Linked DNA regions of Elephas maximus indicus. The protein of the gene in region 1 purifies or fractionates together with the protein of each later gene. This does not show direct contact. Links are inferred from orthologs where the notes say so. Each region holds a gene or a part of one and is shown on either strand. Other genes may lie near its edges.

Region 1 (3,747 bases):
GGAGTGTCAGGAGCCTTTGGACCTGGGGTTCCTGCACAGAGAACCTCCTAAGCCAAGGGAAAATTGATGACAAGGACCTTCCTCGTGAAAGTCCACAGAGAGAGAAAGCCTTCCCCTGGAGCTGATACCCTGAATTTGGACTTTCAGCCTACTAGACCGTGAGAGAATAAATTTCTGTTTTTTTTAAAAAAAACTAACCAATTCCCTCGTTAGGGTTCCATACACCTTATTTGTATTGTTTCTCCACAAGGGTGCCATATACCTTATTTGCATTATTATCAAGCTGTCCAATCCCTCTGATTGGAAAAGCATATTATTTGCATAGTCCTACCTAGTCACTGGAAACCCTGGTGGCATAGTGGTTAAATGCTACAGCTGCTAACCAAGAGGTTGGCAGTTCAAATCTGCCAGGCGCTCCTTGGAAACTCTATGGGGCAGTTCTACTCTGTCCTATAGAGTCGCTATGAGTCGGAATCAACTTGATGGCAGTGGGTTACCCGGTCATTTGGTGGGAGTTACAAGATAATACTGAGAAAAGCCATATAAAAGTGATTCACTGCACTGCACCATAATTGTAAACTACTCAATGTCTTCTGAAGAACTGTTCAGACACTGTATTTGAGCACTCTATTGAGCAGCATGCATGGTTCTTGCTTTCATATCAAACTCATTTTCTTTGTTAAATATTTCCAAATAAGTGAAAGTGGGACACGTTAAGACCAAGTAAAATGCCATTAACACCAACTGCTCTGTTGGCGGGGATGGATGCCATTCATACTGCAAGAGTTTCGATATATACATATGTATATACACACACGAGTGTGAGCGCACACACACACAAAGTTTATTTTAAATTTAGTATTATTCGAATGTGAATAAAATATCGCTGAACCACTGCTCAAAATGAATCTGAACCATCCCCTGAAATCAAATTTGTTGTTGTTAGGTGCCACCTAGTCACTTTAGACTCACAGTGACCCCATGTGACAGAACAGAACTGCCCCACGAGGTTTTTTAAATGGACATACTACTACAGAACTTTTCACAGACTACTAGAAAAATCAACTGCATAGCATGAGATTTGTGCTGCATTGGTATAAATGTTATAACTGTACCACAAGTGAACTCAGTCAGAAAAATAGGAGACTAAGTCTATATGACACTAGTTCGGAAATCTTAAGTCAAACTGTGAAGATACTAAGTAGCTTTCAAAAGTCTTTACTGAAAAACTTCGTATATTCTCTGCCCAGTAAAGCAAATCACACGGAGGAGCCCATAACAGGATGCACACAGGCCGTCTAGTGGCAAAGGTTTCTCCCATCTTCCAGTCACAAGTTGCTGCAAGACTTTATCTACCCCTTTCCTAAGATGGCTAGAAACAAATCTGATAACACCCGTGCAAAAAACGGTCGCTATAGGAATACTGTTTAACGATCTATTTCTTTCAGATTGTTTGCAGTTTTCCCAACATAAACACGAAAAATAAAATACTGCTTTTAGTTAAGCAATGTTGAGCCTGTGCAGCACGCAAAAGTATGTTTTCACTTGGCTTAGACTCTTATATTAACTTAATTATAAACATAAAATCCTTTGGTTTGGAAATAACTAATAATTTCCACTATTTCTTCTTCTCGTCCTAAAAAGCTCAGGTCAAAAATGCTAGGCCTCAACACTAAAAACTGCTACCTTACTTTGACTCAAGTTTGCAAGTTGGCAAGTAAACTGCCAATGAACAGGAAAAAAAAAAAAAAAAATACCGGGCGGTCGCTGGAAGAGAGTACAAGGTTGAGGATATGGAAGTATCCCGCTGTCCACAAGCTACAGATCTGGGATGGTCAAGAGTGTGACCCCAGCACGGATTCTCTCCCTCTGCTTCCAGATCTTAAAACTAACACCGATAACACGGCGACCGGAGGTGTTGCATAGGCAAGAAAAGACTTAGGGCTTGCGACGCCTGCCGCCACTGCCTCTCGGGTCCCCAGCACCGATGCCGGTGAGTGCGCGTACAGGGAGCTCCGCTCCACGTCGGAGGAAGAGCAAGGCGCGACCCTCAGGGTCGCTGCAGCCGCCCCGCGCACCGCACCTGTAGAGGCCGCTCGCGCCTACGCCTCCCGGGGCAACGACGCGCGGCAAGCCGCCGACTCCTCCGACCCAACAGCCACGGTCTCTGGGGGAGCGAGGCTCCAAGGCCGCCCGCCCTCTCCCCACGCCTGCCGCCCCACAACGTACCGCGCGGGGAAAGAAAGTTTGCCTCCCGCCGCTAGGCCTCAACTTTCCCGCCCGTCCGTGCAGGTCCCCGCCGGCTCCCATTCGGCATTACCCAACCCCGACCTTTCGGACCCCACTAACAGAGACCACTTACTCTGGCTGTTCCCGCAGCGACGGAGTCTCCGCGGCGGCCATCTTGAACTTCCTGACTTCTTGGCGGTAGCGGCAGCGGCTGGCCGGACCGTGCAGGCAGGCAGTAGTGCAGGAAGAGGAAAAGGAACCGTCGCGCATGTGCTGAACGCGTTGGAGAACACGAAGCTGTGAGTCCGCTCTAAGAATCCGGATATAAAACACTGCATCCGGGGACAAGCGCCGAGCGTCATGATGCCACTTCCGGGGTGTTGGGGGCGGTGCTTGCGTGTGGGTTAAGGGCGGACGACTTGGCGTTCTGGGTCGCTTCGTCAGTGCGGAAACCCGGAATGTGGTCCTGAGGTTTCTGGAGAAGGCAGCAAAGGGAGTAGGATGTGGGTTTCGCGTGTGCAGATCCAAAAACTGATTTGCTGTGGGGCCCAGAAATTGGGTTAGAATTTTTCTTAAACCAGGGCAAACGAAATAATTATTTTGAGCCTGGGCTGTGTTACGGGAATAGTAACCTGGCTAGACGATTGTCTGAAGGGGCGTTAAGGGAAGGTTTGTAGAAGTGCACTTTGAGAATACTGTACCTAGAATGTAAACGTCTTTTAAAATGGAACTATTATTGATATATTTATTTGGAACTTTGGAACTTAGTTTCAACTTTTGCTAAGTCTGAGAATAACACGATTCAGGAGTCATTCAGTTCGTTGGTTCTGACGATTGATTTTTTTAATGAATTCTTTTTATTTATTGGTCCAAATTGTTTCGTGTGGTTTTGTTTTTCCTTAATGATGGACTCTAGTAATGAAATATTGTATGTGACAACATTTACTGGCTCTTGGTGAGCCAGGTAAGTTCCTAAATTCCTCTCAAAAAAAAAAAAAAAAGACAGCGTTCTCCATACTCTTGAGTTTGGATTTTTCCTCGAGTACGTTTCTGGATTTCCATAGGGGAACAGTTCCAAATATTCTACCAAATAAGGCACTGATTGACTAAATTCCAAAAGTGTTGAAAGTATTAAGCCTCCCTCCCCCCTTAATAATGTGGAATACGAAATTATTCCTTAGATAATTGTTGACTTTTGTGGATTTTTTTCCCCAGGATTGTAGCATATCTTTATAGGATCTTTAATTATATTCTCTTAAGAAAGAATTACTCCCATCCTTAACAATCAGATTCAGGTGTAATAACTTAGAAGACTTCTTTTGAAGGAAAAGTTTTCAGAAATATATCAAGAATGGTTTTTATTTTCAACCATATATCTAGATACTGAAACCCTTTGCCATCAAGTCGATTCATAGCAGCAGTATGGGACAGAGTAGAACTGCTCCATACTGTTTCCAAGAAGCTGCTGGTGGATTTGAACTACGACTTTTTGGTTAGCAGTCAAGCCCCTACCTACTA
Region 2 (3,747 bases), on another chromosome or scaffold:
AGGTGGTCAGCCGGGGCCAGGGGCAACCGTGCGCACCTGGGCACGGCTCCGGGGACGCGTGTCCCTGTGCACCTGCTGGGGGCGGGCGTCTGCAGGGGCCTCTGGGTGGGGTACGTGAAGACATGTCGGTCCCCCTGTGTGTGTGGGGGGGGCCTTGTACATCCCTCTGGGGGCTTCTCCCCACGGAGCCCTCCCAGCCACGCCTCCCCTCCTCCCTCACAGGCTTACTCGCTTAGCCCTTCAGCACAGTTCTACGGACCTCTCCCCGGGCCTCGCTTCAATATGCACCTGCTTCCTCAGAGATGCCAACTTGGCCTGCGCTTCCCTAACCACAAGGCGCTCTGAGGACCCAGCGTCTTTCGAGGACCCAGCGTCTTTCCCCTTCCCTCAGTAGCCCCAGAATCTGGCTCAGGCTTGGACGTTATATGAGACGCAGTAACTGAGGGGGGAATGGGTCTGGTGTGGGGAGGGACGCCAAGGAAGGCTGTAGCAGGTGGGAGGGACCCCCAGTGAGAAGTGATGGGCAGGCTGGGAGCAGGGAAAGGCTGGTGCGGTCCACCAGAAGCCTGGTCTCGCATGTTCGTGTAAATACGTGCATGCACACGAAGTCTGACCTGGACAAAGGCCCCACAACACACATGAACAAATGCTCTCATAGAATTCACTCGCGTGCCTGGAGCCCGCACACGTATGCTCATGCGACCATCCACGGTATGTATCTGTTCTTGTGAATTAGACTGCATTCAGGGGTCTCTTGTGCCAGGAGCTGCCGCGCCCTCGCTAGAGTATCCAGGGCCTGGGGGGTGTGGGGAGGGGTGTGGGGCGCTTTGCTGACCACCAGGGACTGGTCAAACTGGGGCCGAGGAATCTGGCGCCAAGGTGCAGGGGCGAGAGTGTGCACACAGGGTGTCCCCATCACAACACAACCCTGCGCAGCTGCGCACGCCCCGCTCAGGTGGTCAGCCCTGCCAGGGCCACTCGGAAGGGCTGCTGGGTCGGGTCAGAGGGAGGAGACCACACGGTCCGGGCCCTCGGGCAGGTCTCCTCGGGCACCGCACAGAGCAAACACTCGGGAAGCGTAAAGGCCATAGGCTCAGTTTTGGGGTTCCGCGGGTTTACACAGGCTGGTGTTGCCCTTTGACACCTCGGGCCGGCCGGGCACCTCCCACCTCGCCACAAGCTGGCGCTCCCGCACAAGCGCCTGCCGGCCCCCCAGTGCTACAGCCGCGGCCGGAAGTCGTCGAAGCAGCGTTTCCGGAACTTCCGGCCGGGGAGCCTGAGGGGCGGGGCTTCGCTTGGATGGCGCACTCTGCTTCCGGGGCGCGAGTGACGTGGGGCCGCGTCCTCTTCCTGCGCCCAGGCAGTTGGGTCTCTGCTTTTTCGCTGCGGTTGCGGCCTCACTTCTTCTCTTCCCGGTCTTTGGCGTTACCGCGGCCATGAACAAGAAGAAGAAGCCGTTCCTGGGCATGCCCGCGCCGCTCGGCTATGTGCCGGGGCTGGGCCGCGGGTGAGGCCTGGGTCGCGGGGCCAGCAGAGGCCGGGCGGGCGGGGCGGGACGCGCGCTCCGGGAGGGGATTCCGGGCCGGGGTCGGGCGTAGGGGCTGCTCCCTCTGGCCCGGCCCGGTTCCGTCCGCGGCTCTGCTTGCCTGGTCGACGCTGGAGGCCCGCCCTGACTCTGCCCGCACTTCTACCTGGAGGCAGCAGGACCTAGGGCATCCCGTGGATCGCGACGGGGAAGACAGACAATAGTAAATGAGGCTCTGAGAGATACTAGGTGGTTTGGCCTAAGCCCTGTGGGAGGCAAGGGGCTTTGGAGTCAGGACAGACCTGTCTGTCAACCTGCCTACTACTTAGTAGAGTGTTTCTGGGTTTAGGTACATATCTGAGCCCTTTTTTGCGTCTCTCCAGTGGGCGATAGATAATGCCCGCTTGAGATCCGCTGTGATAGATGAATCCCTGACATGTAGTGGGAATTCCAGGACCGGCTTCCCCAGACGGGGCAGGCCCACTCCTCCAGCTTGTCTTGCCTTTCCTCAGCGCCCGGGCTGGTTAGGTCCCTCTGTTGTGGCCACTCCTAGTGTTCCATTCTTTCTCTTTAGTATCTGCCATCATAAGCTGCTTGTTCAGAATGTCAGCTCCACAGGGGCTGGAATGGCATCTATGAACTTTGTGATTGGTCTCCCACACCTGCAACACAGATGGCCACCCTAGGTTGTTGAATAACTGAGCAGTCATTATCCTATTTGTTTGGATATTCATTTGGTTTGGAAAACTACTGCGTTTCTCTCTTGTGAGTACTAAGAATCTGTGGGGTACACGCAAGACTCAGATGTTGACCCCCTGTACAGAGGAGCTGCCTTCACTAGGGAAGGTGAGGTATTTGCATAAATAACCACATAAAGAGGAACAGGTTGAGAAGCCTTTGATCCAGATTTAGGAGGAGGGTCAGGTTTAGAGATGCAGAAACATGGCAGGGGTAGAGGAGACTGACATTCTGTATGTGGTTAGTGAAAAACAGGAGTGGCTTGGAGGGAGACGGAACAGCATGGAGTCCCATATGAGTGGAATGTGCAGTGAGTAGAAGGCAGCTGGAGGGGCCAGTGGAGCATTGCACATTAGGTTAGAGCTTGTGTCAGCATTGGAAAGACAGTGACATGTCATCTTGTGTTGAAGCCTGGATGAATCGGGTAGAGCAAGGGAAGGCTACAGGCAGGGGTGGCTAACTTGGCATCCAGCTATATTGGGGGCCATACAATCTGAGGAGGAGAGATTTCAGATGTAGAATCAAAAGAACTTGGAGCAGATTGGATGGGGCTGGGGAAGGAGGGAGGGAGGGAGGCAGAGTTGATGCCATGTGCTGCCTTCAGCTGAACTAGGGTACCTGGAGCAGGAGAGGAGTGCAGTCTTGGCCAAGTAGGGTTTGAGAGACTGATTGGAGTGGAGGTGGAGATGATCAGCGGGGTGTTGGAAACATGAGGCTAGAATTTGGGAGGTGGGAGGCCATGATGTCCTGTGCAGGGAAGGCTTGGGTGAGAAGAGGTCTCCTTGGTGGCGCCCAGGGTAGGTTAGAGGGGTCATTGCCTAGAGGAATGAGCACACCAGTGTGTTTGCAAGTGGCCATGCTTAGCTTACCACCCCAGGGTCTTTCAGAGGTTTCTGAGGTGTTAGAGGGGTGTTATTAAGCGATGGTCGAGGTTGGAGAGGAAAACACAGGAACAGGGTCACCCAGATGTGGCAGGGGGTGGAATCCATATGGATGTCCTGGGGTCTCCTGCAGTGCCACTGGTTTTACCACCCGGTCGGACATTGGCCCTGCCCGGGATGCGAATGACCCTGTGGATGACCGCCATGCTCCACCAGGCAAGAGGACCGTTGGGGACCAGATGAAGAAAAACCAGGCTGCAGATGACGATGACGAGGACCTGAATGACACCAACTATGATGAGGTAATGTGTGGTGTCTTCTGTGGCTCCCTGGCCAGTCCCTGAAGGGAAGGGCTGGACAGCTTCTGTTTTTTTGGCTTTAACAAACAGGAACTTCTTTCACAGTTCAGGAGACTAGATTTCTGAATTTAGGGCTCCAGTTCTAGAGGAAGGCTTTTTCCCTCTGTCAGCTCTGGGGCGAGGTCCTCGTTTCAACATTTGTGGACCTTGTGTTCCTTGGGAATCTACATGTGTCTTGGCATCAGTCTTACCATGGGTCTGGGAGGATCTCCGTGCAGGGACCGCAGGTCCAAAGGACATACTC

The links. Proteins that work in one complex are often made in the same cells at the same time.
Region 2: the proteins of PRPF4B (region 1) and PRPF6 purify together in Homo sapiens (affinity purification with mass spectrometry; 3 studies listed by BioGRID and IntAct, with this or other methods). This does not show direct contact. The link is inferred for Elephas maximus indicus from reciprocal best matches to the Homo sapiens genes PRP4K and PRPF6.

Annotation. Positions count from the first base shown.
Region 1 is NC_064819.1:45,206,207-45,209,953, reverse strand, and holds the start of PRPF4B (serine/threonine-protein kinase PRP4 homolog), read right to left. Parts: upstream 2,578-3,747; 5' UTR 2,500-2,577; coding exon 2,363-2,499; intron 1-2,362. UniProt on the Homo sapiens protein: Serine/threonine kinase involved in spliceosomal assembly as well as mitosis and signaling regulation. Connects chromatin mediated regulation of transcription and pre-mRNA splicing.
Region 2 is NC_064843.1:4,138,284-4,142,030, reverse strand, and holds the start of PRPF6 (pre-mRNA-processing factor 6), read left to right. Parts: upstream 1-1,345; 5' UTR 1,346-1,436; coding exon 1,437-1,507; intron 1,508-3,277; coding exon 3,278-3,446; intron 3,447-3,747. UniProt on the Homo sapiens protein: Involved in pre-mRNA splicing as component of the U4/U6-U5 tri-snRNP complex, one of the building blocks of the spliceosome.